Linked DNA regions of Daphnia pulex. The protein of the gene in region 1 binds, or shares a complex with, the protein of each later gene. Links are inferred from orthologs where the notes say so. Each region holds a gene or a part of one and is shown in the gene's direction. Other genes may lie near its edges.

Evidence for each region.
Region 2: spliceosome-associated protein CWC15 homolog (region 1) and splicing factor 3B subunit 2-like share a complex: the UniProt entries of both Homo sapiens proteins name them as parts of the minor spliceosome. The link is inferred for Daphnia pulex from reciprocal best matches to the Homo sapiens genes CWC15 and SF3B2.
Region 3: spliceosome-associated protein CWC15 homolog (region 1) and pre-mRNA-splicing factor SPF27-like share a complex: the UniProt entries of both Homo sapiens proteins name them as parts of the PRP19-CDC5L splicing complex. The link is inferred for Daphnia pulex from reciprocal best matches to the Homo sapiens genes CWC15 and BCAS2.
Region 4: spliceosome-associated protein CWC15 homolog (region 1) and smad nuclear interacting protein 1-like share a complex: the UniProt entries of both Homo sapiens proteins name them as parts of the minor spliceosome. The link is inferred for Daphnia pulex from reciprocal best matches to the Homo sapiens genes CWC15 and SNIP1.
Region 5: spliceosome-associated protein CWC15 homolog (region 1) and RING-type E3 ubiquitin-protein ligase PPIL2-like share a complex: the UniProt entries of both Homo sapiens proteins name them as parts of the minor spliceosome. The link is inferred for Daphnia pulex from reciprocal best matches to the Homo sapiens genes CWC15 and PPIL2.
Region 6: spliceosome-associated protein CWC15 homolog (region 1) and pre-mRNA-splicing factor CWC22 homolog share a complex: the UniProt entries of both Homo sapiens proteins name them as parts of the minor spliceosome. The link is inferred for Daphnia pulex from reciprocal best matches to the Homo sapiens genes CWC15 and CWC22.
Region 7: spliceosome-associated protein CWC15 homolog (region 1) and cysteine-rich PDZ-binding protein-like share a complex: the UniProt entries of both Homo sapiens proteins name them as parts of the minor spliceosome. The link is inferred for Daphnia pulex from reciprocal best matches to the Homo sapiens genes CWC15 and CRIPT.

The regions. Positions count from the first base shown.
Region 1 is NC_060025.1:5,440,125-5,443,209, forward strand, and holds spliceosome-associated protein CWC15 homolog, read left to right. Parts: upstream 1-1,420; 5' UTR 1,421-1,656; coding exon 1,657-1,787; intron 1,788-1,844; coding exon 1,845-1,988; intron 1,989-2,075; coding exon 2,076-2,235; intron 2,236-2,294; coding exon 2,295-2,537; 3' UTR 2,538-2,585; downstream 2,586-3,085. Other genes in the region: unextended protein-like, read left to right, coding at 244-536, 622-894; cell cycle checkpoint protein RAD17-like, read right to left, coding at 2,851-3,005, 3,071-3,085. UniProt on the Homo sapiens protein: Involved in pre-mRNA splicing as component of the spliceosome. Component of the PRP19-CDC5L complex that forms an integral part of the spliceosome and is required for activating pre-mRNA splicing.
Region 2 is NC_060020.1:5,125,182-5,129,117, forward strand, and holds the start of splicing factor 3B subunit 2-like, read left to right. Parts: upstream 1-1,136; 5' UTR 1,137-1,376; coding exon 1,377-1,617; intron 1,618-1,704; coding exon 1,705-2,351; intron 2,352-2,413; coding exon 2,414-2,757; intron 2,758-2,827; coding exon 2,828-3,032; intron 3,033-3,102; coding exon 3,103-3,353; intron 3,354-3,428; coding exon 3,429-3,547; intron 3,548-3,611; coding exon 3,612-3,772; intron 3,773-3,841; coding exon 3,842-3,913; 3' UTR 3,914-3,936. UniProt on the Homo sapiens protein: Component of the 17S U2 SnRNP complex of the spliceosome, a large ribonucleoprotein complex that removes introns from transcribed pre-mRNAs.
Region 3 is NC_060018.1:4,114,108-4,117,083, reverse strand, and holds pre-mRNA-splicing factor SPF27-like, read left to right. Parts: upstream 1-1,203; 5' UTR 1,204-1,264; intron 1,265-1,334; 5' UTR 1,335-1,386; coding exon 1,387-1,491; intron 1,492-1,682; coding exon 1,683-1,775; intron 1,776-1,843; coding exon 1,844-2,016; intron 2,017-2,081; coding exon 2,082-2,192; intron 2,193-2,253; coding exon 2,254-2,419; 3' UTR 2,420-2,476; downstream 2,477-2,976. Other genes in the region: uncharacterized protein LOC124189006, read right to left, coding at 1-139, 347-524, 1,448-1,479, 2,708-2,786, 2,851-2,953. UniProt on the Homo sapiens protein: Required for pre-mRNA splicing as component of the activated spliceosome. Component of the PRP19-CDC5L complex that forms an integral part of the spliceosome and is required for activating pre-mRNA splicing.
Region 4 is NC_060018.1:419,648-422,605, reverse strand, and holds smad nuclear interacting protein 1-like, read left to right. Parts: upstream 1-1,346; 5' UTR 1,347-1,402; coding exon 1,403-2,374; 3' UTR 2,375-2,458; downstream 2,459-2,958. Other genes in the region: sulfotransferase 1B1-like, read right to left, coding at 77-173, 499-742; biotin--protein ligase-like, read left to right, coding at 2,522-2,530, 2,593-2,738, 2,807-2,958. UniProt on the Homo sapiens protein: Required for pre-mRNA splicing as component of the spliceosome. As a component of the minor spliceosome, involved in the splicing of U12-type introns in pre-mRNAs. Down-regulates NF-kappa-B signaling by competing with RELA for CREBBP/EP300 binding.
Region 5 is NC_060022.1:781,827-785,789, forward strand, and holds RING-type E3 ubiquitin-protein ligase PPIL2-like, read left to right. Parts: upstream 1-1,163; 5' UTR 1,164-1,345; coding exon 1,346-1,377; intron 1,378-1,453; coding exon 1,454-1,673; intron 1,674-1,761; coding exon 1,762-2,071; intron 2,072-2,148; coding exon 2,149-2,294; intron 2,295-2,389; coding exon 2,390-2,513; intron 2,514-2,589; coding exon 2,590-2,738; intron 2,739-2,800; coding exon 2,801-2,952; intron 2,953-3,015; coding exon 3,016-3,205; intron 3,206-3,265; coding exon 3,266-3,408; intron 3,409-3,474; coding exon 3,475-3,571; 3' UTR 3,572-3,642; downstream 3,643-3,963. Other genes in the region: somatomedin-B and thrombospondin type-1 domain-containing protein-like, read left to right, coding at 130-206, 307-521; eIF-2-alpha kinase activator GCN1-like, read left to right, coding at 3,806-3,820, 3,905-3,963. UniProt on the Homo sapiens protein: Has a ubiquitin-protein ligase activity acting as an E3 ubiquitin protein ligase or as an ubiquitin-ubiquitin ligase promoting elongation of ubiquitin chains on substrates.
Region 6 is NC_060018.1:7,249,544-7,253,513, forward strand, and holds the start of pre-mRNA-splicing factor CWC22 homolog, read left to right. Parts: upstream 1-1,170; 5' UTR 1,171-1,299; exon of another isoform or gene 1,300-1,364; coding exon 1,365-1,522; intron 1,523-1,589; coding exon 1,590-2,094; intron 2,095-2,161; coding exon 2,162-2,290; intron 2,291-2,358; coding exon 2,359-2,704; intron 2,705-2,912; coding exon 2,913-3,352; intron 3,353-3,414; coding exon 3,415-3,695; intron 3,696-3,774; coding exon 3,775-3,876; intron 3,877-3,961; coding exon 3,962-3,970. Other genes in the region: ubiquitin carboxyl-terminal hydrolase 24-like, read right to left, coding at 13-249. UniProt on the Homo sapiens protein: Required for pre-mRNA splicing as component of the spliceosome. As a component of the minor spliceosome, involved in the splicing of U12-type introns in pre-mRNAs. Promotes exon-junction complex (EJC) assembly.
Region 7 is NC_060021.1:4,590,194-4,592,723, forward strand, and holds cysteine-rich PDZ-binding protein-like, read left to right. Parts: upstream 1-1,433; 5' UTR 1,434-1,553; coding exon 1,554-1,767; intron 1,768-1,841; coding exon 1,842-1,930; 3' UTR 1,931-2,030; downstream 2,031-2,530. UniProt on the Homo sapiens protein: As a component of the minor spliceosome, involved in the splicing of U12-type introns in pre-mRNAs. Involved in the cytoskeletal anchoring of DLG4 in excitatory synapses.

The DNA.
Region 1 (3,085 bases):
GGGGCAGGAAAATTGAAATGAAGAAAGTTATTAACTAAAAAGTTCTGTCGAGTTTTTTTACCGACTTCGTTTGTTTTTTGCCTTGCTTTTTCATTTCATTAACGTTATTCTCTGTTGAAATATTGGGATGGGTACTATTGCTTTTAACTATAACATGGCAAAAGATGAGCTATATATTGTAGGGGGTTTAATAACTTTACTGCATGGCGATTTCACCAATGGTTTAATGTTATTATGTATCAGGAGAATCGTCATTTGCCAACCAGTTCTTTCATGGCAGCGTACAATCAATTCACTCTCCAATCATCGATGAATTCGACATTGGCGATAATGGAAGCAAAGCTGCACGTGGACAGGCGTTTGTTGTTGATTATACTGTTCGTGCGGTCAGTGATCTAGTGTATTTTCACATGAGCCGATCCCTGTACCAAGCAGTCAGAAGTGCTACCGTCCTAGAGCGGGTACAGCGTGAAGTTGTGCCACGAATGACGGAATGCGAATCTGCTTTCATGTCTAGCAGAGAAGATTCTGATACGGTATGGGATTCCTGCAACTGAATTACTTTTATGTAGATGATAAATATTGTGACTAACCCAATTTTTTTTTTAAATTGCATTTTAGTCTGTAAATTTGACGAACGGGTTTTCACCTATTGAGTTACAACCTGACAGTTCTCGTTGTAATTCTAACTGCCTCCTGACTAGATCTGATCCGGAAAAAGAAAGCCTACTAAGTAGTTCACGAGGTAGTTCATTACCTAGTACCCCAAATGTTTGTGTGGTCGATAGTCGATACAAAAGAAATGACGTTTTCAGTAGTTGTTCACCCCAGACCATCATTAATCATCAAAATGATACTGGAAATTACTCTTTTCCACACCGTTCTGATCGATAATTCCTTGGATAATTCGATTTAGTGAAATATTTGATGAAAACTGGGAAAACAGTTGAACAAATAGTTCGTCTACAACCGCTGGCGCGCTCAAATATTAGTGAAATTGTCGGAGAACGATTAATGTGGATGCATCCTATAAATGTGGTACCACTTCTTGACATTCCCGTTGATAAAATAATAATGTAGAAAAGGGAAGGTGCAAGACGATGCGCACTACTATGGTTTGTTGTTTTATCAATCTAAATTTGTTTTAGTAGTGATTGAAAATCTAGAACTTTCATTGTCAACACATTCACACAGTCGATTTTTTTATTGGTTATTAAAAATAAACCACAAACATATGTATTCCTTTAATGTACTGTAATTGCGTAACATAAATCGTGTGTGGAAATGTAGGAAACCAGTTATGTGAGGTGAAACAAAGTAACCTATTTCGTACTTTTTTTAATTAACAAAATTTCGCGGGTTTTCTGATCAAATCGGGGGAGGAGCATAAAAATCGACACTAGCGACACCACATTGAAAACGAAGAACTATCAACCTGCTTCTTCTGCTTCTTGCATGAGTTGCATCTCGACTCGAGATTCTCGAGTAAGAATCCAACTTCTGTCGTGTGTCCTTGATTAGTTGATTTTAATTGTGTTGGGGGAAAAGCGTTTAGTAACTTTGGAGGTTTTCAAGAGTCGGATACAACAGAGCAACTCTTTCATCAAAGCCAAGTACAAGTAGCATTTTCCACAGTAATTGAAAAATCGTTAGAAAATGACAACTGCTTCGCGACCAACATTTGCCCCTGCTACTGGAGGACAAGGCAGGGGAGAAACGTCTCTCAGTTCTATGAGTAAGCAATATTCGAGTCGAGATCTTGCATCACATACTAAACTAAAATACAGGTAAAATTTAAATTTAATTCAAAAATTCTGACATTCTAATTTTATTTCTTTTGATAGGGATATTGGTCAGGGATCATCAGAGGAAATTCGCAACAAGGATCTAAAAAGAGATCTAGAAGAACGGGAAAAATCTCATAAGGAAAAAGGAGATCGCAAAGACAGAGATAGGGCTGTTAAATCAGCTTCGTCAGTATCTTCCCAGTAAGTCTGAAAAACATTTAACTTTTTTTCCCTATCTCTACAAACTATTTCAGTTATGGGATTAAAGAATGTGTTAACACTTTGCAGGAAGAAATTACGTGTTGATCCTAGTAGCTTGGATGCAGATGATCCCATTGAAGACGAAAGTGATGACAGTGTTGATGAAGAAGATGAAGATGACACTGCTGAATTAATGGCAGAGCTTCAGAGAATAAAGGGTGAACGAGCATCTGAATTGGCCAAAAAGGTATTATCATTGACTTAGATGCTCTTGTTTGTCAAATACACAAATTGCTTGTTTTTCAGGAAATGGAACAGAGACAAGAAGAGGAACGTATCAGAATGGAAAATATTTTAAGCGGAAATCCATTGTTAAATTACGCTGGGAAACCTCAGAAATCTGACTTGCGTGTCAAACGACGATGGGATGACGATGTTGTCTTCAAAAATTGTTCCCGTGCTGAGCCGGAAAGGAAAGAAATCACTTTTATTAATGATTCACTTCGGTCTGAATTTCATAAGAAATTCATGGACAAGTATATTAAATAATTTTTTATGTTCCATGCATTTGATTAAATACATTTCCTGTCTTAATTACTAAGTTTATTTGTAAAATTTTTTTTTGTGGCTGATTCGTTAATCGTCTGTAAAGGACTAAAGACACTTTAATTCAGTATACCAATTTTTCCTTTAAAAAGTTTTCTTATTCATTCATTGGCATACTTACAATATAAGAAAATATTTTTAAATTATTTATTCCTCTTTGTTCATCAAATAGAATTTTATAATTCTAAATATTAGAAATTGTTGACATTACAATAAAAAAAAACCTCGATCTCTTTATTATCGCGACGTGACGACTCTAGTCGTCATAATCTTCGATGATGATATCAGCGTCCTCGTCCCGATCCTTTTTACCATTCGAGTTTACGGAGTCCACTACATTTGCTGAAAAATCAGTGGATTGACTAACTTGAAACTGGTGGTAATTAAGCTGGCCTGATGTTGATTTTAACCCTGTATCAATTTAATTAAATGAATAATAATAAGATATTTAAAAATAAAGAGAAATGAGATCTCACCGTCTGTTATTTTAG
Region 2 (3,936 bases), on another chromosome or scaffold:
GATTACGTTCATGATTTACCTTTGTTCAAAGCCAGCCAAGGGTCGAATCAATAAATGAAGTTACCTCGTCTGCAAATGATATATCGATAAGCATGTCAGCAGACGGTTAGAGGACAAGGGTTGCTTAATAATCTACTGATAATAAATATACTACTACTAGCTGCAGCACACACACACACAATCTTCAAAGTGGGAAAAGCAACCAAATTGGTTAGTTTCTTGGCCTTGCGGTTGCACTGACCCTGGATCAACAATGCCCTATGGCGAAAAAGGCCGACTCTTTCACTCATCGTCAAAAAAAAGAAAAAATAAAACCGTAAACGTATATGAGAGACAAGGAGAGAAAAAGAAACGGTAATGGCTTCGTGGAAAGAATGTCAACGTGTATACGTAATGGCGTGAGAGTCTGAGAGAGACCTAGTGAAGTTGCTACACGGCCTGTGTGATGAAAGTCTCTTATCGATCCGGCTCACAGGCACATCTCACATCAGGGTTGTTGATAATGAAACTGATTTCTCTTTTAGCTTCTACCAACGTTTGATCGGTTCACCGACACCAAAAAATCTCAAGAGGGGTGAAATGGCCACACGCAACGTTTCTCATCAGATTTTACGAAAATGTGATTGTCGATGAGAATTTTCCCATCGAAAAACGATAATATCAAATAGGCTGGAAAAAACAATCTACAAAAGGTATGTACAAACGTAAAGGGGAGAGAACAAATGCCGTCGGTTTCACTTGATGCTGTAGACCTCTGGGCAGAGAGAAAACCAACCAAGACTGCCTTGAATGAGAAACTGAAAACAAGCCCCGACGAAAAGCCTGTCAACACACACCAAAACAGAATCGGCCAAACTTACCGGCCTCGCGATGAACTGGACGATCTCAATGAAAACAATACGTTCACAAACTAACTAATCACACCACTCCCACCGCTTTAGCAATACTCTCAGAGCACTTCGGTTTAAGAAACCGTTTTGACTGCAACTGCATCTCTCTCAGTGTGCCACCACAAAAAAAAATCATTTAAGATTCATCAGACTGCCATCTGGTGTTGATAGTGTGCACAAGCCTTTATTAAAAATTTAGGGCGCGTCGTGAACGCCATCTGCTGGTTTTCTGTGGTACCTCAATGAATATACGATTTGATCATGGCTTTTAGATTCGGCTTCATTTGGTCGTCGTTTACTCGCTTCACCCGTTTGGTTCTCTAACAAACTTGTTTTGCTATCGTGTTTCTTTCAAGGCAGTTTTAAATTAACGTAAAACTTCATCGTGTTTTACTTGGACGCGTCTATTTTGTCTATTGATTTGAAACACCCTTTTGATTGTGTGATTATTCTTTAGAAACAGAAAGTTATTTAGTTGAATTTGACATGGATCATCACATGCCGCCCGGCTACGGCCAGGAGAATTACATGTATGGAGATCCTTCAAGGTCCTTCCAGGGTAATGCTGTCGGTATGTATGGATCAGGTGCTAGACCGATGTCACCTCCTCCAGGTGATGAAGACATTCCCGCCCATGAACATCTCCCATCAGCACTTGAAGAAGTCCTTGCTTACAAAGAATACCGAGTACGAGAAACGGGCCACTCTGGAGAGGTTGATAACATTAGTGAGTAACACTTTTATAAATTTTCTAGTCTTCATGAAAGGTTTCGCTTGCAGGAATGAACTTTATTCTTTTCTATTTTTTTTTTAGTTAATGAAATCCCTGTCAAAACAGTTATAGAAACTGAAGGAACTATTGAAGAGAGGAAAGATGATTTCGGTGGGGAAGAAAACCTTGAAGAAAAAACTAAAACTCAAAGAAATCAAAAGAAGAAAAAGAAGAAGAAGCGCACTAAGAGACATCAACAGAAAGAAGAAGAAGAAGAAAATGAAAGGAATGATGATGCTGAAGAACCTCCACAAGTGGATATTGAGTATGTCCAGGAAGAAATCATTTATGACGACAAAAATCCTTTCTACCGACAGTTTGCCAAAATCTTCGAAGCATTTAAAATCATTGATGAAAAAACTGCAAAGAAAGCTGAAGAAGATGAAGCCAAAAAGAAAGAACTTCAAAGAAGTTTAGAACTTAAGAAGGTCCCCAAGTTTGCAGAAGAGGAAGATTTGGAGGAGAAAAAGGAAAATGCTGATGATGACAAGCCAAAAGTTTCAAAAAGAAAACTAAAACAACTTACTCGACTAAGTGTGGCCGATTTGAAGCAATGTGTTGCCAGACCAGACGTCGTAGAGATGCACGACGTTACTGCTAGAGACCCCAAACTGTTAGTTCTTTTGAAAGCAACCAGAAATTCGGTCCCAGTTCCTCGACATTGGTGTGCGAAGCGCAAGTACTTACAGGTATATTTTACTATGCACAAAGGGTAAACAATTCGTTTTAAACAAATTTTTTTGTACTTTAGGGAAAACGTGGAATAGAAAAGCCTCCTTTCAATTTGCCCGATTTCATCAAAAAGACCGGAATCATGGAAATGCGAGCTGCTTTGCAGGAAAAGGAAGAGTCAAAAACACTTAAAGCTAAAATGCGTGAGCGTGTTCGACCCAAGATGGGGCGTGTTGATATCGACTATCAAAAGTTGCATGACGCTTTCTTCAAATGGCAAACCAAACCCAAGATGACGATTATGGGTGATTTATACTATGAAGGAAAAGAATTTGAAACTCGAATGAAAGACAAAAAACCCGGAGAGTTGTCTGACGAACTGCGAACTGCTCTCGGAATGCCTGTTGGTCCTAGTTCAAACAAGTAAGAATCTATTCTTAATTTGACACCGTTTTGTGTTACAGTAGTTAATGTTAATGGCGTTTTCTTTAAGAATTCCTCCTCCTTGGTTGATTGCCATGCAAAGATATGGTCCACCACCGTCTTACCCTAACTTGAAGATTCCAGGATTGAACGCTCCAATTCCTGATGGTTCTTCCTTTGGCTACCATGCCGGAGGTTGGGGAAAACCTCCTGTCGATGAATTCGGGCGGCCTCTGTACGGCGATGTTTTTGGATTGACTGGAATCGCAGGCGATGTAAGAAAATATCTCATACTCTGTGTATAACAAATTCTATTAACCACGAATACTTTTGCCTCTTTTTCAGACAATTTTACTCGACGAAGAAGTTGATCGTACCTTGTGGGGTGAACTTGAATCGGAAGAAGAGGAGGAGGAAGTTGAGGAGAGTGAAGAGGAAGAAGGAGAGGACGAAGAAGGCGCCATTGATCAATCAGGTCTGGTTACTCCTGCAGAAGGACTTGCTACTCCTTCGGGATTCTCATCTGTACCTGCTGGTCTGGAAACACCAGATATGATTGAGCTACGAAAGAAAAAGATTGAAGCAGAGATGGAGAGGTATGTAACCAGTGTCAACTACTATACAACTGCTACTTTACATTTTTAATTATTCCTATTTTCACTCTTATTTAGTAACGAAACGCCTCAGCTGTATACCGTCCTTCCAGAAAAGCGAACGGACAGAATCGGTCAAGCGATGATGGGATCTACCCATGTATATGATATCGCTTCAGCTACGACCACTCAGAAGAGTAAGATTTGTCATTTTTTAGTTAATTTGTTGTTATTATGATTTTTCAATTAAATTTTTCATAGGTAGTGGTGGTGTGGAACTTAGTTTGGATCCCTCCGAGTTGGAAGGTTTGGACTCTGAATCAATGGCCGCTCGTTATGAACAAACATTGCGGGAGCAACAAGGCAACTTGGCTAAGGAAGATTTCAGTGACATGGTGGCTGAACATGCCGCCAAGCAGAAGGTAAGTCGTAAATCCAAATCAGTGATTATTAACTTGATTAATAAAATGTTTTCGTAATTGCAAAAACAGAGCAAGAGAAAGAGACAACAACAACAGACGGACACTAAACAGGCCAAGAAATACAAAGAGTTCAAATTTTAACATCCCTTTTGAAGCATTAAAAA
Region 3 (2,976 bases), on another chromosome or scaffold:
GTGGGGGCAAACATACGTCCACCACGACACATGTTACCATAGGCACCCTGACCGGAGCGATGGGTACCACCTCCTCGGACACGGGGAATACGAGCCACAGCACGACCAGTACCCCATGATTCAGCACTTGTCTGATGACCTGTAATAGGAAAGAAGAAGATTAACAATCACACCATTACATGTGTGTATGAAGTTTGTCCGGTTGCCCAACCCCTCACTTTAAGAAAACAAAGCGAGAAAGGCCTCAGGGACTCGCTTTAGTGTTGCACACTGCACAAGAAGAGTCTGACGTACAATTACTCCTACATTTCAATGCTGTGTGCCATATAATTGGCATACAAGTTACCTGCTTTCTCGCTGACACAATAAGGGTGACGACGATTCATTGACATTTGTTGTTGAACAAAGCTGACAATGTCTGGCCTAATGGGAGCCCTGAAGATTGCAGGGAGCTGGATGCTGGTTCCAGAGGCCTCAGCCTTCTCATTGTAAACGGTAATCAACGGCCTCGCGACCACCTTACTCTGTAAAACAAAATGGATAAACAAATTAGATTTAAGATTTTCAAGAGACAACACTTGAATTTACACAAACTTTGAACTAGATGTACCAATTAACCAAAACATAACAATAAACCAAGAACGACGTTGAATTAACATAGAAAAACAGCAAGAGCCCATTTGACACGAGGACGAAACCACGCTGTGGGTAACATTTTACTCCCAAACTTTCGCCATAGATTAACAAGAAAATGGCTTAGAAAAATATACGCACGCAAGAATTTTCTTAAAACACGTTTCTCCCGTTAACCTTTTTACTTACTATTCGTAAATTAATGTATGTAAAAACTAGTAAAATGTTTGGAGAACCTCATGCTTACCATCTTGGTAGATAGTCCTGACCGGGTAAAAAGGCGAATGAAAGAGACCCACAGTAATGGCGACAAAGAGGAAGTCTACAATGTTGCCGGCATACTTTGAGAATTGCCGCCCTCTACGTTCCGTTTTTTACTTGATTATTTACTTGAAAAATTACAGATTATTCACTGAACTGATCCACTGTTTAATAACAAAAATTATGGAGTTTCAATTGATGATTTCAAACATTTTAATGGAGTGATTAGTTATAAAATTTTTAATATTGTTTTATTTGTTTCACAATGCAACGGTGTCCAAAATATTATTGAATAAAATTTAATATACCAATTTATTTTCATATTTTATTCATTTAAAGGAAGTTAATGATCTTTATTCATTATCAAAAAGTAAGTTTATGAATAATTAGACATAATGAAAATCAATTACTAAAACTGTGGCTCATATTTATTAATCCAGCAGAAAATCTGACAATCTTGCTGACAACAGACAGTTTGACACAAATCACAAAATGCCGATTCCGTCAACAAACATTTCCACGCCGAACGAAAGGATTTTGGTTGACGATTTACCATACGTTGACCAAGAATATGGAGATCCAACTCTACGAGAAGCGGTAAGCAAAACTTATACATTGCAAACTTTGAAATATTTGAATCGCTTCGAATTGAGGCTTGGAGATTCTTGTGTTAGCCTAGTCATCTCTAACATCAATACATTATTGTACTAGACCATAGTACTGTATGTTGCTGAGAACTCTCGCTCTTGTCCAATAGTTGTTTAATGAGAGTAATTTCTTTCTATCAGGCACTTGCATTGGTTGATGAAGAGACACGAAGATATAGACCAACCAAAAACTACCTAGAACATCTTCCTCCACTTGAGCTGTCAGCATTTGAAGTAAGAACTGTCTGCATGGAAGTAATGATAGGAGTGTGTAATAATTATGGAAATTATCATGTTCATAGACTCCTTTGATGAAGACTGAATTTGAGCGACTGTCTCAAAAGAAACCAATGGATGTTTTGAGCATGAAACGATATGAACTCCCACCCCCATCTGCTGGTCGTCTAAATGATCTTCAAGCATGGATAGAGTGTGTTGATAATTCAATGGCTCAATTAGAACATCAAACAACAAGGTTTGTTTTCTAAAAAAAAATTTTACAGCAACCATAAATTTAAAAAAATTTCAATTAAAAAACAGGATTTTGAACTTGGAATTAATGTCAGAGTATGGTTGTGAATCATGGAGAATTTATAACACTGTATTGTCCCAGATGATCCAACAATCTCAGAAGCATCTTCAGGAATTTAAGTATGATTTCAGTAAAGTAGACACCATATTGCAAAATACACTATTATATTTTTCTTTACAGGAAACAAATCCAAGATGTCAATTGGGCTAGAAAAAAAGATCAGACAGAGGTTGGAGACAAAATGAAACATTTGGAAGCCACTTGGTTTGGTTTGATCACTAAAAACTACGAAATCGAACTCGCGTGTGCTGAAATTGAGAGACAGTTAGCTTCACTTAATGAATGAAATTCAATGTAAACCTACTTTATCGAATTCGGATAATACACTGCAACAGGAAATTGATTCATCCGAGATTTTCAGTAAGTGACAACCAAAAAGATTTGGTTGTAAGGGAACAAAACAAAAAAATAGTATAAAGTCATGCACTTTCAGATTAGCTTGTCTTATAAATGGTAAGTAGCACGTTCTGATTTTATATATCACACAATTGAAAACGAGAAGAAGCGTATGAGTACAGCAAAGCGTAATTCAGAGAAGGGTAAAAAAAAGGGTAAGATCATAGGGAAGTCTCACTTGGGGCTGAACTTAAAGGTAAAGGGCGGACGGAAGACTCATCTTCCAGCACCATAACTCGTTGCTTTAGGACGCGAACCTGATAATCACATGACATTTTTATGTCGGTCACACTTGATAACTCGTAATTTTTCTCTATATACCTGCATTGCATGTCTTTCCGACATGTTGACCATTTGCTGCTCTAGTCTTTTTAATCGAGATTGGTACTTTTTCTTAGTCCTCTCAAGAAGTTGGACCAACGTCCTGAAAATTAGTTTACGGATATT
Region 4 (2,958 bases), on another chromosome or scaffold:
GAGTCCATATAGTTCATAAACCGAAAACGGAAATGTCTTGTTAAAGCTCTCAATGACATCCCAACAACTGACATACTCTAGAAAGGGTGACCGAACTATTAGTGGTGCCTTAGATCCAATTGGATCACAATTGTTGAGAATCATCCACACTAATTCCTGTGTCCACGTCGTTCCTAAGTAAACAAATTCAAAGTTATCAATTTTATATGTGCGGGAGAATACGAAAAGTTAACACTTTCAAGATCCGAGAGATTTGTATTTGTTTGTTTCAAACTATGTGTTTTAAAATAGGCGGGGAGAAATACAAGGTTGCCATTTGGCTACTAGACTTTCAAGGCTACGGCCAAAAAAATTGATGACAAAGAAATAAATTGTGACGTAATAGCAGTAATTGCTAAACAAATACCACTAGGATATTTATTTTTACGAATTATTATTTTATAAAAATGTAGCTATTACATAAAAAAAATCTTAAAAATGATTGAAAAAGGATTTTACCGCATTTTGGAAAGGTTACTACCCAAACGTCGTCGCTTCTTGGTTGAAAACGTGAAATTTCTTTGGCATGGCGTGCATACTCATCCGTTAAGAGAAAACCACCAGGTTCGCTCTTCATCAGTCCATGCTGCTCGTAGTTTGTGAAGTGTTCTTTCAAGTCTCCATTCACTTCTACAGGATTGAATTTTATGTTCCACTCTGGAACAACTTCGGGAGGAACTGAAGGATTTTCGGGGTTTGTCATCGTGCGAGAGCTCAGACAACAAATGAAAACGCAACGGCAAAAAGGATCGAACAAAGACCGCGACGACTGAATGACACCGTGGCCTCCTTTTTTATACTCAACAGCGACTCAGCGAGTGCCACATCAAATTTTAACGATTTGGTTTTCGTCGTTAAATCAAATGCAAAATTATTAAATCCACGTAAATATGTATTACAATATCAGATATTTGATAATATTTATTTAAATATTTTACAACGACCCAACGAGCAAAAGAAAAATATACTTCTCTAACAACATAATTTTGATTTCGAAAATGTTATGCTGTAATCGATTACAAAAATTCTCAATTTGGCATACATAAGCATTACTCAATTTCTAAAACATTACATAAAAAAATGAGAATATAAATACATTAAAGAGCAGGCAGTGAGGCAGCAGAGAGCAGGTCCGCGGACGGCGGACCGCTAGCGGCTAGCCGTTTACAGGTGGTGGATGAAAGTAAATCTGGCAACGGTTACGAGTTGCGACACCATTTCATGTTGACAAGCCGAGAAACGAGTTGTATCAAACTGAAACTGAAACATTGAATTGATCTCGTTTTTTTGAGAAATACGCCAGAAACATTAAGGTAATTAGAGAGTACTTGTGCATATCTTGTTTTATTTCGTTTGGATCGCCATGGTAAAGCACAACGAAGACGAGAGGAGTCCCAAAAGGTCCCACGAACGAGGCCATGAAAGAGGCAAGACTCACAGACGTCGTGAAGAACGTGACTCTTCCCCACCACGAAAATCTTCACGAAGCGACCATTACCATTCAAGAAGTGATGACTATGAAAGAAGTCGGAAATCAGACAGCAGGAGACATGATTCACAAGTTTCACACAAAGAAAGTAATCGAAGAAATGACCCACCAATTCCAGTTAAAATCAAGAAAGAACCAGTTAGTGATGATGAACAAAGTTTCAGACGTCCACAACACAATGAAGGGCCTTCAAGACGGCATGAGCAACCACATTCAGAAGATCGACCACCAAGACCTTTTAAGCAGAGACGCAAAAGCCCCCGAAGTGAAGATGCTGAAGCAGCCAACTACCAGTATGGCCAACAAGTTAAAGATGAAGAAGAAGAAGGAACACTCGTTGAAAAGCAAAAACCCAACTTTGGTCTATCAGGAAAATTGACTGAAGAGAAGAATGTTTTCAATGGTGTGGTGGTCAAATACAGTGAACCACCTGAAGCCAGAATTCCCAAGCGACGGTGGCGTTTTTACGTCTTTAAAGGGGAAGAGGCATTGCCTACGTTGTACCTTCACCGTCAAAGCGCCTACTTAATCGGAAGAGATCGTAAAGTTGCTGATATTCCAATCGACCATCCCTCTTGCTCGAAACAGCACGCTGCGATCCAATTTCGGTTGGTAAACTACGAACGGCCTGATGGAACTGCAGGACGTACTGTCCGGCCATATATTATTGATCTGGAAGCAGCCAATGGTACTTTTGTAAATAATCAAAAAATTGAATCCAAACGTTACGTCGAATTGTTCGAGAAGGATGTGGTGAAGTTTGGCTTCAGTTCCCGCGAATATGTTCTCCTTCATGAAGAAAGCAAAACAGATGCTAGTTTGGACGATATGGGAGTGGGGCAGTGACACGTTGGTGACCAGCAATGTTTTGTATCATAACAATTTTCTTTTTTGAACGCCGCAATACACTTAATGTTTCTGCGAAAGGTATTCAATCGTCTTTAAGTGTTCTTTCATTTCATTTCCAGGTTTCACACATCAGTGGGGCTGTTCATGTTATTCGTAAGTTGTCACGTTAATTCAAATTTATAACTAAAGCAATTTTTACAACCAGTTGGTAACAGGTAACCAAAATTGCTGGTGTCATGAGACCTGTGGAACGACTGCTGGCCTCCTCAGCAAGACCGCCCAACATTCTAATATGTACGAGTGACAAAGAAGTTTTTCAGCAATATCGAGCCCTCTTTGAATCCACACTAGAGCCGGATTGGTATATAAACAGTATAGACATTTGATATCTGGATTCTTGATCTTAAACAATGTAACATTGATTGACAGTTATGCCCTTTACCATCTCGATGAACTCTCATTTCGTTCTAAAAAAGCTTGGCTAAGCAACACAAGCCTCCTAGTACTTGCTTCTCGATGGTCTGATAATGACTTGCACGATCCGCTGGAAGAGTACATCAAGAAGGGTGGTCAATGTCTTT
Region 5 (3,963 bases), on another chromosome or scaffold:
GTGAGGATACATACCTATAAACAATCAAGCCACAAAATTTAAGAAATTTTCGACACCAATGATTGCTCTTCAATTGGACGTTGAAAATTGGCGCATACATGTTGCAATAACACTTCCGTCTTTATTCAGTTACTGCGTGACATTCGAGCTGACCAAAGTGTCCAAGGCCTGCCACAAAGAGAAAGTGTTCAACTCTCTTACTGACGGTAATTGACTTCCGGAATAATAATATCCGGATGGAAATATCATTTTTCAAAAATTGTGTTTTGATACATTTATTTTATTTTATTCCTTTTCGTGGTTTAGGCGGCGTCGTCTGTGTTCGATGTGAACACAAGGCTACTCGTGACTATTTGGGAGGCCGTTGCGGTGGTCACGGAGTGCCGGGTAGAATTACACGCTGGACATCGCTGACCAACGTCGAGTGCCATGGCAAATGGCTCAGACGTCCGGATGAATCTCACGAGGTTTCCAGCTCGACTTGTTCGTGCGACGAGGACGCTCTGTTAATTTTCGTTTAGGTCTCAACACAAGAGACGCAAACTATAAGGAAACGAACAAGGAAGAAGATCAATTTTAAACAAAATCTCCTTAAATTTGTTATGCTACCACATTAATTATTTCTATTTTTTTTTCTTTGTCTTTCGAATCATTCTTTTTTTTTACCTAAAATATTCGATCTGAGGGTGGTTTAATTAAAAAAAACGCGAATGAAACGAGCGAAAGCTAGAACAAAAAAATTAACTGTCGACCCACCCATCGAGTTTAATGCGAGTGTGAAAATACACAGAAAGGGAAATTTCCATAGAACCAATTTATTCACTTAATCTTTTGTTTGCTGTCAGCTGCCTAGTCTATAGTGGAGTCTAGCAATTATTATGCATTGTTGACTTTCATATCGCTTAGGCTTAGCCGTCTTCTTTGAATGGTTCCTCTTAATTATCTTATCTCGAATCATTTTGAGGCTTTTATGAAGGTCGATCCTGGCCCCCTAGTGGCTGAACGTCCAACGACCAATATTTCATCATTTAATTTGGCCAATGAAATTCTTGATGATGTGATCGTTGGATGTTATTTTTCGTACATAAAATTTTTTTTTAAATGGTAGAACAATTCAATAATCGTTATAAAAAGACAAAAAGTTTAAAAGTTTAAGTCGAGCGGTTGAAGCTTGAAGGGTAAGCAGACGACGTTCAAGACAGTGTGCCAAAACAACAAGTCGGTTTATTAGTCGTTTGGCGTTCTATTCCATAAACTGAAAAAAGTTTGCTCGATTTTAATTTGTGTATTTCACAGAGAACTTTGATACTGTTTTTCTTCATCAAAGCGTGAAAACTATCTGAAAATGGGAAAACGACAACACCAGAAAGATAAAATGCAAGTTCTAAGATATTTCAATTTGAATGATATGTTTAGTATGAAAACACTAACTAGTTTACTATCTTATATTTAGGTACTTGACAAGTACAGAGTGGAGCACATTGTATGGTGGGAAGAAGCCTGTTAATCCAAATAGTGCCAGTGCTTCATTTCGACGACTTCCATATGATCACTGTGCCTTGTCACTTCAGCTTTTTGAGAATCCTTTGTGTGACACTGAAGGAAATGTTTTCGACCTTCTTGCTATAGTTCCATACTTGAAAAAGTATAAAACTAATCCAGTAACAGGAAAAGTAAGTTTTGCTTATGGGTATTGCATGTTTGCTTCATCCGATAAACTTGAACTAGAAAGGCATGTTTATGAGAATTTAATTTTTCTAGCCATTGGAAAGCAAAGCCCTTCTGAGGTTAAATTATCATAAAAATGCTGAAGGGGCATACCATTGCCCTGTATTGTTCAAGCAGTTCACAGACAAATCCCACATTGTGGCCATCAGAACTACTGGAAATGTGTTCTCCTATGAGGCAGTAGAGCAACTCAATCTGAAGCCCAAAAACTGGAAAGAGTTGTTAACAGATGAAACATTTGCTCGTCAAGACATTATCACTCTTCAAGACCCATCTCACCTAGAAAAGTTTAACATCGCTAAATTTTATCATGTAACGCATGACCAAAAAATCGAAAATGAAGGTAATTTGTTGTCTTATTGATTATAGACTTAACAACGCCAATTGATTTGCTTTCATAAATATGATTCTCTCTACTAGAATTAATAAGGGCCAAAACCGATCCTGCAGCCCGTCTCAAATACATCAATGCAGAAACGAAGGGAGTTTTGGCAGAATTAGAACAGGAATACAAGGCACCTGAAGAGACTGTAACTGTAAAAGCAGTAGCTGATTCCATTAATGCGGTAATTTGATTCAGTTAAAGTTTTAAATTTATCCCTTTTATTTATTATTATTTTCGTTTTTATAACTTGTTTATAAAACAAAAAAAAACTATCAGGCTCATTATTCCACCGGGGCTGTCGCTGCTGGTTTTACTTCTACGGTGATGGCACCAGAAACTAAGCATGAACCAGCAATTCTCGATGAAAGTATCGTTCGATATCAGCGCATTAAGAAAAAAGGTTAAAGTAGTTTCTTGTAATGAATTCTTCACAAACCATCTAAATTTGTTTTTATTTCATCAATTTAATTTCTTAGGTTATGTTAGACTAGTTACAAATGTCGGGCCTCTTAATTTAGAGTTACATTGTGAAATGGTACCTAAAACGTGTGAAAATTTCGTCAACCTGTGCAAAAAAGGCTACTACAACAACACCAAGTTTCATCGGTCTATCAAGCATTTCATGGTACTGTAGATCTCAACGTGATCACGGGCTGTTACAGAGATTTCCTAACAAAAATTTTCCAGATTCAAGGTGGCGATCCCACTGGAACTGGTACCGGAGGAGAGTCTTGCTGGGGAGGATCATTTGAAGATGAATTTAAGCCGAATCTATCCCACACCGGTCGGGGTATTTTATCGATGGCGAACTCGGGAACCAACACTAATAAATCTCAGTTGTACGTTTAAATTATCTAGTTCTATGCATACATTACGCATCAATTTGATTATTACTCTTTCAGTTTTATCACCTATCGCTCGTGTAAACATCTGGACGGAAAGCACACAATATTCGGTCGTGTCGTGGGTGGAATGGAAACTTTGAGCGCTATGGAACGAATTGGTACTGACAATAAAGATCGACCCGTAGAAGAGATTATTATTGAGTCGTCACAGATATTTACAGACCCATATGCCGAAGTAGACGAAAAGGTTGCCGAGAAAATCAATTCAACCTTAGAAGCAAAATTTACTTTTGTTTTTACATTTTAGTTGGTGATTGAGAGAGCCGCAGCGCTAGAAGAAGCTGAGAGACAGTTGAAGGAAGCAAAGGCTTCCATCCCTAAAGCCCAGCTTAAGGTTTTCAAACAATCTGGTGTAGGAAAATACATCAACCCTAAAGCTTTCACCAACAAGTATATCTTTAATTTTCTATTAAATAAAATAGTTTCATTGCAGCTTATTATTATTTTTTTTTATAGACCAGCTGATTCGGCTGGAGAAGAATCCGGCAGTTCTCAACATAAAAAAGCTAAAACATCTGCTAACTATTCATTTGGTAATTTCAGTAATTGGTGACCTTCCCGGATATTGGATTATTCTTTGCTTACTTGTGGCTGATTTTTTAAAAATAAACTCTTTCTCGAACACTTGTTCTTATCAAATTGTATGTCATTTTTTTTACTCAATAATTCTGTAGCAATTAAAAATAAAAATCGAAAAAGGGGAAGGAAGGGTTCACAATTTTACTGACTTTTTTTTATATGCGACGGCAACGCAGCATTGTCCTCTCGTCTGCCAAAACGACACACGATGGATGACAAACCGGTAAGCAAACCACATTTATGATAAATAATAATTTGTTAAATTACGCGTTCAATAATCAATGTCTTTTGGTGATTTGTTTTCTAGTTAGCGAAAGCGCTGAAAGATTTACCCTTGAGGGTACAATCAGCCAGCTATCTCGAACG
Region 6 (3,970 bases), on another chromosome or scaffold:
AATAGGCTTTACTTCAGACACGGAAGCATCTTCGCTGGATCCTTTGGAAACACCAGCTACCTCTTTCATGTCAACATCGATGTTTAAGTCAGCAACAGGTCCATAAGATGACACTGACTGATCATTGGTGAGGATAGCAACTGCTTCATTTAGATCATTCTTGGCTAAACGTAAAGCTCGTTTGATTTCTCCGATGTCCGGAAATCCCATGGCCATTAACGTGCTGATATTTTCGTCTTCGACGTCCATGACGTCTTCTCTCCGGCGTTTTAAAATTTTTATTGTTTATCTGAAGAGGAAACAAATACAAAATTAGAACATATCACGATGCACGATGAGTGTATCCCAAGCACTCTGCGCATTTTTTTTTTTGTTTTTTTGTTATCTTACTACGATCACAAGAGGCACGAACTCCTTCGCGGAGCTTTTTGAAATTCTTCTATACACATAGGATAAACTGCATGGAGGAGTGGCAAACAAATGTTAGCGGTAGGCAGGCCCCTTGTCAAATGCGCCCTCCCTATTAAACCGTGGGCGCTGACATCTTTGACATGTTGCCAGCTCATTCATTCCTCTAAACAGTGGTTTCAGACGGATTCGACTTTTAGAAAAAATGCTTAATGATTTTTTACCACATAATTTCAATTGAAAGTATGAAATCTCTTTAACAAATCTTCGTGGCTGCCTGTTTTTATTGTTTCATAGCGGTTAGTAATACCTATTTTAAAACTAGGAACTCGCAGGACTAGCGAAAACATGCGAAAATATTTCAAAAATTGAAATAATTATTCTTTTAACGATCCTTTATAACTCTGATTTCACCAGTAACTATTTTAAAAATTCTACACGAAATACGAAGACCTGAGAAGGCTCAGCGCTTAACGCTGCCACAAAGCTGATAAACAATTTAAACAAGTTATCGAAAAAGTCCAAAAAGTATTTGATGGTTGCTCGCTGCTCGGGGCAGAATATTTATTCAATTATTCCTTTTCCAATAAATTTTAAACAAATTTTCATTAATGAGGAAGTGGTTGATTACAAGAAGATTCTTAATTCTTATTTTTTGTCACGTTTGTCTCTTTGCCTGCCTTTGCGATAAACCCGATAAGGCATAAGGCGACAAGCCGACAACCAATGAAATCGAACAAGCTGCCCAAACGCAGGTGGCGCATTAGTGGTAGAATTGTAAGCAAACGGCAATACCGCAATATGGCAATAGGCATTAAGCCAAGGAAGCAAACGTAAAAAAGCAGTTGTTTCTCAGCGTGTTGCGATTGCAATTTTCTATTCATCCAAACAGTATAACATCTGTTAAGTGATATTTTCAAATTAATTTCCCTTCATCTGTCACAATAATCCTTCAGATGGAAAGTGTCGTCAAAGCTGTTGGTTTACCCGTAAATTTCTTAGAAGAAGTCGACGATGATTTGGAAGATGAACGAGACGAAAAAGCTCCAGCAAAGCCCGATAGCAATATTCGGAAACGACGGTATAGTTCAGAGGAGGAATACAGAAGAGAAAGGTAGACAACTGTACCAAAAGTGTTACAAGTAACAAATTAATTTACTTCATATTCATTTTTTTATCAGGAAAAAAAACTATGAAATAGGCACACGCTATTGGGGAGATGAAGGCCCTAGAGATAACTACACACAACATTCAAGAGAACAAGATCAACATTCAAGAAAAAGAGAAAATCAATTGAAAAAGGATGACAGAAAAACTAGTGAACAAGGTCCTTTAAATGAAGAGGATACTAAAGAGCCTAAGAGAGTTAAAGAAATGGATCCAGTGCTGACACGAACCGGAGGAGCTTACATTCCTCCTGCCAAGTTAAGAATGATGCAAGCCCAAATAACTGACAAGTCAAGCTTAGCTTTTCAGCGTTTATCTTGGGAGGCTCTCAAAAAATCCATTCATGGATTAATCAATAAAGTCAATGTGTCAAATATCCCATTGATTATAACATCCTTGTTCAAAGAAAATATTGTTAGGGGACGTGGTCTTCTAACTAGGTCCATCATTCAGGCACAAGCTGCATCACCAACATTTACACATGTCTATGCAGCCCTTGCTGCATTAATCAATTCCAAAGTATAAACGTGATTTATATTAATTCATGTATTTAATTTAATTCACATCACATTTGTTGATGTTTCAGTTTCCTAACATAGGTGAACTGCTATTATCTCGCCTTATTCTTCAATTTCGCCGTGGGTTTCGTCGAAATGACAAACAAATATGTATGAGTTCGACAAGATTCATAGCACATCTGGTGAACCAACAAGTGGTAATATTGAAATTTTGCTCTCATGTTTTGTTTTTCAAATGCACTGAAAATTTTTCTTGGTATTTTAGGCACATGAGCTTTTGGCTCTAGAAATTTTAACTCTTCTGTTAGAAAATGCAACTGATGATTCAGTTGAAGTCGCGGTTGGATTTTTGAAAGAATGTGGTCAAAAGTTAGGTGAAGTCTCCCCTCGAGGATTAACTGCTGTCTTCGATCGCCTCCGTCATGTTTTACACGAAGCTGACTTAGACAAACGCGTGAAGTACATGATTGAAGTAATGTTTCAAGTACGAAAGGATGGCTTTAAGGACAACCCTGCTATCGTGGAAGATTTGGATTTGGTGGAAGAAGAAGATCAATTCACTCATTTGATGTCGATACAAGAAGAAGAATTGGATCCCCAGGATATGTTGAGTAATAAGTTGCTATTAATGGATTTAAAAAATATCTGTATTCCTCAATCTACCAAGTTAGTTTACTGGGCTTAAATTTTTATTTATTTTTAAAATAATCTTTGACTGTAATGAGCCCCAAGTTCCGTGCTTTTCTTAAACTGTTAATAGTAGATTTTATATGTCTATCTCCACTTTGATACCACTAACTGTTTCGCGTATTTTTGTAGATGTTTTCAAGCACGACCCGGATTATGAAGCCAACGAAGAAAAGTACCAAGCTGTCAAAACAGAAATTATTGGAGATAATTCGGGCGAATCAGACGGTTCTGGAGAAGAAAATGATGAATCTGATGGAGATAGTGCTTCGGAGGAGGAAGCAAAAGGTAAGAATAGCATATACTTTTACTTGGGTCGATTCAATTTGTATGTTTTTAATTTTGTTTTTTTAGAACAAGGCGATATTGTTGACGAGACGGAGACAAACCTTATTGCTCTTCGACGCGTTATTTACCTTACTATTCAGAGCAGTTTAGATCACAATGAATGTGCCCATAAAATGATGAAAATGCAAATGAAACCTGGACAAGAAACTGAGTTATGCCATATGATCTTGGATTGCTGCACCCAACAAAGGACGTATGAAAAATTTTTCGGCCTTTTAGCCCAGGTACGATTTCTTATTAAATAAAAAACTATTCAAGTATATCAATTTTCTTTTCGGTGTATTAGAGATTTTGCCAGATTAATAAGGCATACATACCACCATTCGAGCAAATATTTCATGATACATACGACACAATTCATCGGCTGGATACTAACAAGCTTCGCAATGTAGCCAAAATGTTTGCCCATTTACTTTTCACAGATGCCATCAGTTGGCAAGTGATGGCTAACATTCGACTAACTGAAGAAGATACTACAAGCTCTTCGAGAATATTTCTTAAAATTTTATTTCAAGAAATGGCAGAGTACATGGGTCTCAGCAAGCTAAATCTTCGCCTCAAAGACCCGTCAGTGCACCAACTATTTTTTAAACATCTTGTTTGGTTATACGTCACCAATTTAATTTTTTTAATATTTTCGTTTTAGGACTTTGCAACCGTATTTTGAAGGAGTTTTCCCTCGCGATGATCCTCGCAACACTCGATTTGCCATTAATTTCTTTACTTCCATCGGTCTAGGAGGGTTGACGTAAGTTTTTCTATCTCGTTGATAGATTCTTTAAGATTAATTAATAATTTTGTGTTGCGTTGGATGGGACGTTTCAATTATGTAGAGACGAACT
Region 7 (2,530 bases), on another chromosome or scaffold:
AAATCTTCTTGGTGAGGAAAGAATTTTCTTTCACCATGATTTTTTTCAGATTTTAGTAAATTGAACTTTATCCCCAAAGTGCTAGACATAAAGTTTGGAAACATCGGCGCGCTCGCCATATGTTTCCAAGCTAAAGTGTATGCTAGTTAAAAAATCATAAAAAATTGAAATTAATAAATTTTTACTTGAAACTTTTACCAACGGTAGACGACATAGTCGTCTACATTTGGACAAAGTTTCAAATTTTTCTAATGAAACTCTGATTTTTCTCGATTTTTTAAAATAGAAAAATAGAGGGAAGAGAATAGGGGAGAACAAAGGGGTCCGGCGGTTTTCCCTCTTCTATTCTTCCCCCGGGCTAGGATTTCGTCCCTGCGCCACCAAAATAAATCGGAATTGTTTTTTAAAAAATCGGGACAAATCAGAGTTTCATTAGAAAAATTTGAAACTTTGTCCAAATGTAGACGACTATGTCGTCTACCGTTGGTAAAAGTTTCAAGTAAAAATTTATTAATTTCAATTTTTTATGATTTTTTAACTAGCATACACTTTAGCTTGGAAACATATGGCGAGCGCGCCGATGTTTCCAAACTTTATGTCTAGCACTTTGGGGATAAAGTTCAATTTACTAAAATCTGAAAAAAATCATGGTGAAAGAAAATTCTTTCCTCACCAAGAAGATTTTTTAAAATTTGCTTTGCGATAACTCAAACGTGAGTTATCGCGAAAAAAGGGAGACACATTGGCCCGTAAGCCGCCGTGTTAGAAGCGCGGAAACACTCGCCGTGTTTCCAAACTTTGTGAGGGTACTGTATATAATATATTTCGTATCCACGGATATAGCTCCTCTGATTTGATCTATTACACCCCGAAGAGCCATCTCATGAAAATCATGGAAAATCAATTTTATAGCCCACGCACAAATAAAATTCCGTGACGGGCTACCGATGTGGTAGCCTTCAAGTCAACTCTCTTTATTTTTCTTTGATACCTATAATAATGTGCCATCATGTTTGTTTGCCCAGATTCAGGTTTCGGTTTTTTGCCCAGTTTTTTTTTTATGGGGGAATTGGAGACTGCGTTATTTTGACAAGATTAAAAGCGTTAATTTGTTTCAAAATTCGCGCAACCTAAACGGATACATCTCCTACATCTAGCGGTAAAGAATTAAACTCCACCGCAGGTTTTATTATAGCCGTTCTAATGTCGCAATAGTTTTTCCGTTCTAGTTTCGTTTCTAAAATATGGACGTTCTAGTGTCGGGTGGGCGTTCTAGTGACGACGACAGTGATAGTGCCACGACAGATGTCGTGGCAATAGACAGTTTCGACCGTATTGCCACGACATGATGTCGTGGCAATAGATTTAACCATCCCAGTCTTAGAAAAGGTTAAAGCCATCTCTGCTTGTCTATGTGAACTAACTGAAGTTTGCCTTATGATCGCTAGGTGGTAGTTTGCAAAAACAAAGCTTCGACTAGTCGACTCGAATCTAGCTTTGAAGTTTTTTTGTTGATTGACTAAACTAAAAACGCAGTTAAAGCCTGTAGAAAGATGGTGTGCGATAAATGTGAGAAAAAACTGGGTAAAGTTATAACTCCAGACCCATGGAAATCAGGAGCTCGAAATACCACAGAAGGTGGTGGTCGCAAGCTCAATGAAAACAAAGCTCTTACTTCTACAAAAAATCGTTTCAACCCATATACACCGAAATTTGAAGGCTGCAGAATATGTAAACAGAAAGTTCATCAAAATGGATCGTATTATTGTAAGTACCAAAGAATTTATAAGAAAAGAAGCTGAATTGAGTCTAACAAAATTACTGTAATTTGGAATTTACAGGTCAACCTTGTGCTTATAAAAAAGGAATCTGTTCGATGTGTGGAAAGAAAATTATTGACACAAAAAGCTACAAACAATCTTCCACTTGATAATCTGTTGTGTTATGTTGTGTTACAATCTTGTCTATGTCTCCTAATCTTTAAGTGAATGTGACATTGAATGGAATATATGAAATTAAGATGCTTGAAACTCTTTTCGTACTCTAGTGCTTTACTCATGTGAAGTTTGAGACCTTACAATCACTGTAATTATCTTGAGTGGTACTATATTAATTTTTGGTATTAAAATTTGTAAATTTTTCATACCTCAAGTATATGCAGAATATTACCAGTAAATTTTCTTTGTAAATTATCTTATGGCATGGCTAATGGATGGATATGTAAATTATACTCTGAACTCCATCCCTTATTTTGTCAGAGGTAATGCTTAAAAGGTTAAGGACCAAAGGTTAATCTCCTTTGAACAATTAAACTTAGACTGAGAATTGTTTTTTTTATGAGCTCAATAATCAATAAACACAGCGAATGATGTCGTTCTATGCAATTTAGCATTAGAATTAAACATGCTGTTTACATATATATACTAATTCCAGAAAATTTGCAGTACTTTTTACTTGTTGGCTAAGTCCATGCTAAGCAATAACAAACAAAAAATATTACTTGTAAGGCGTTATACGATATATTTCGAGA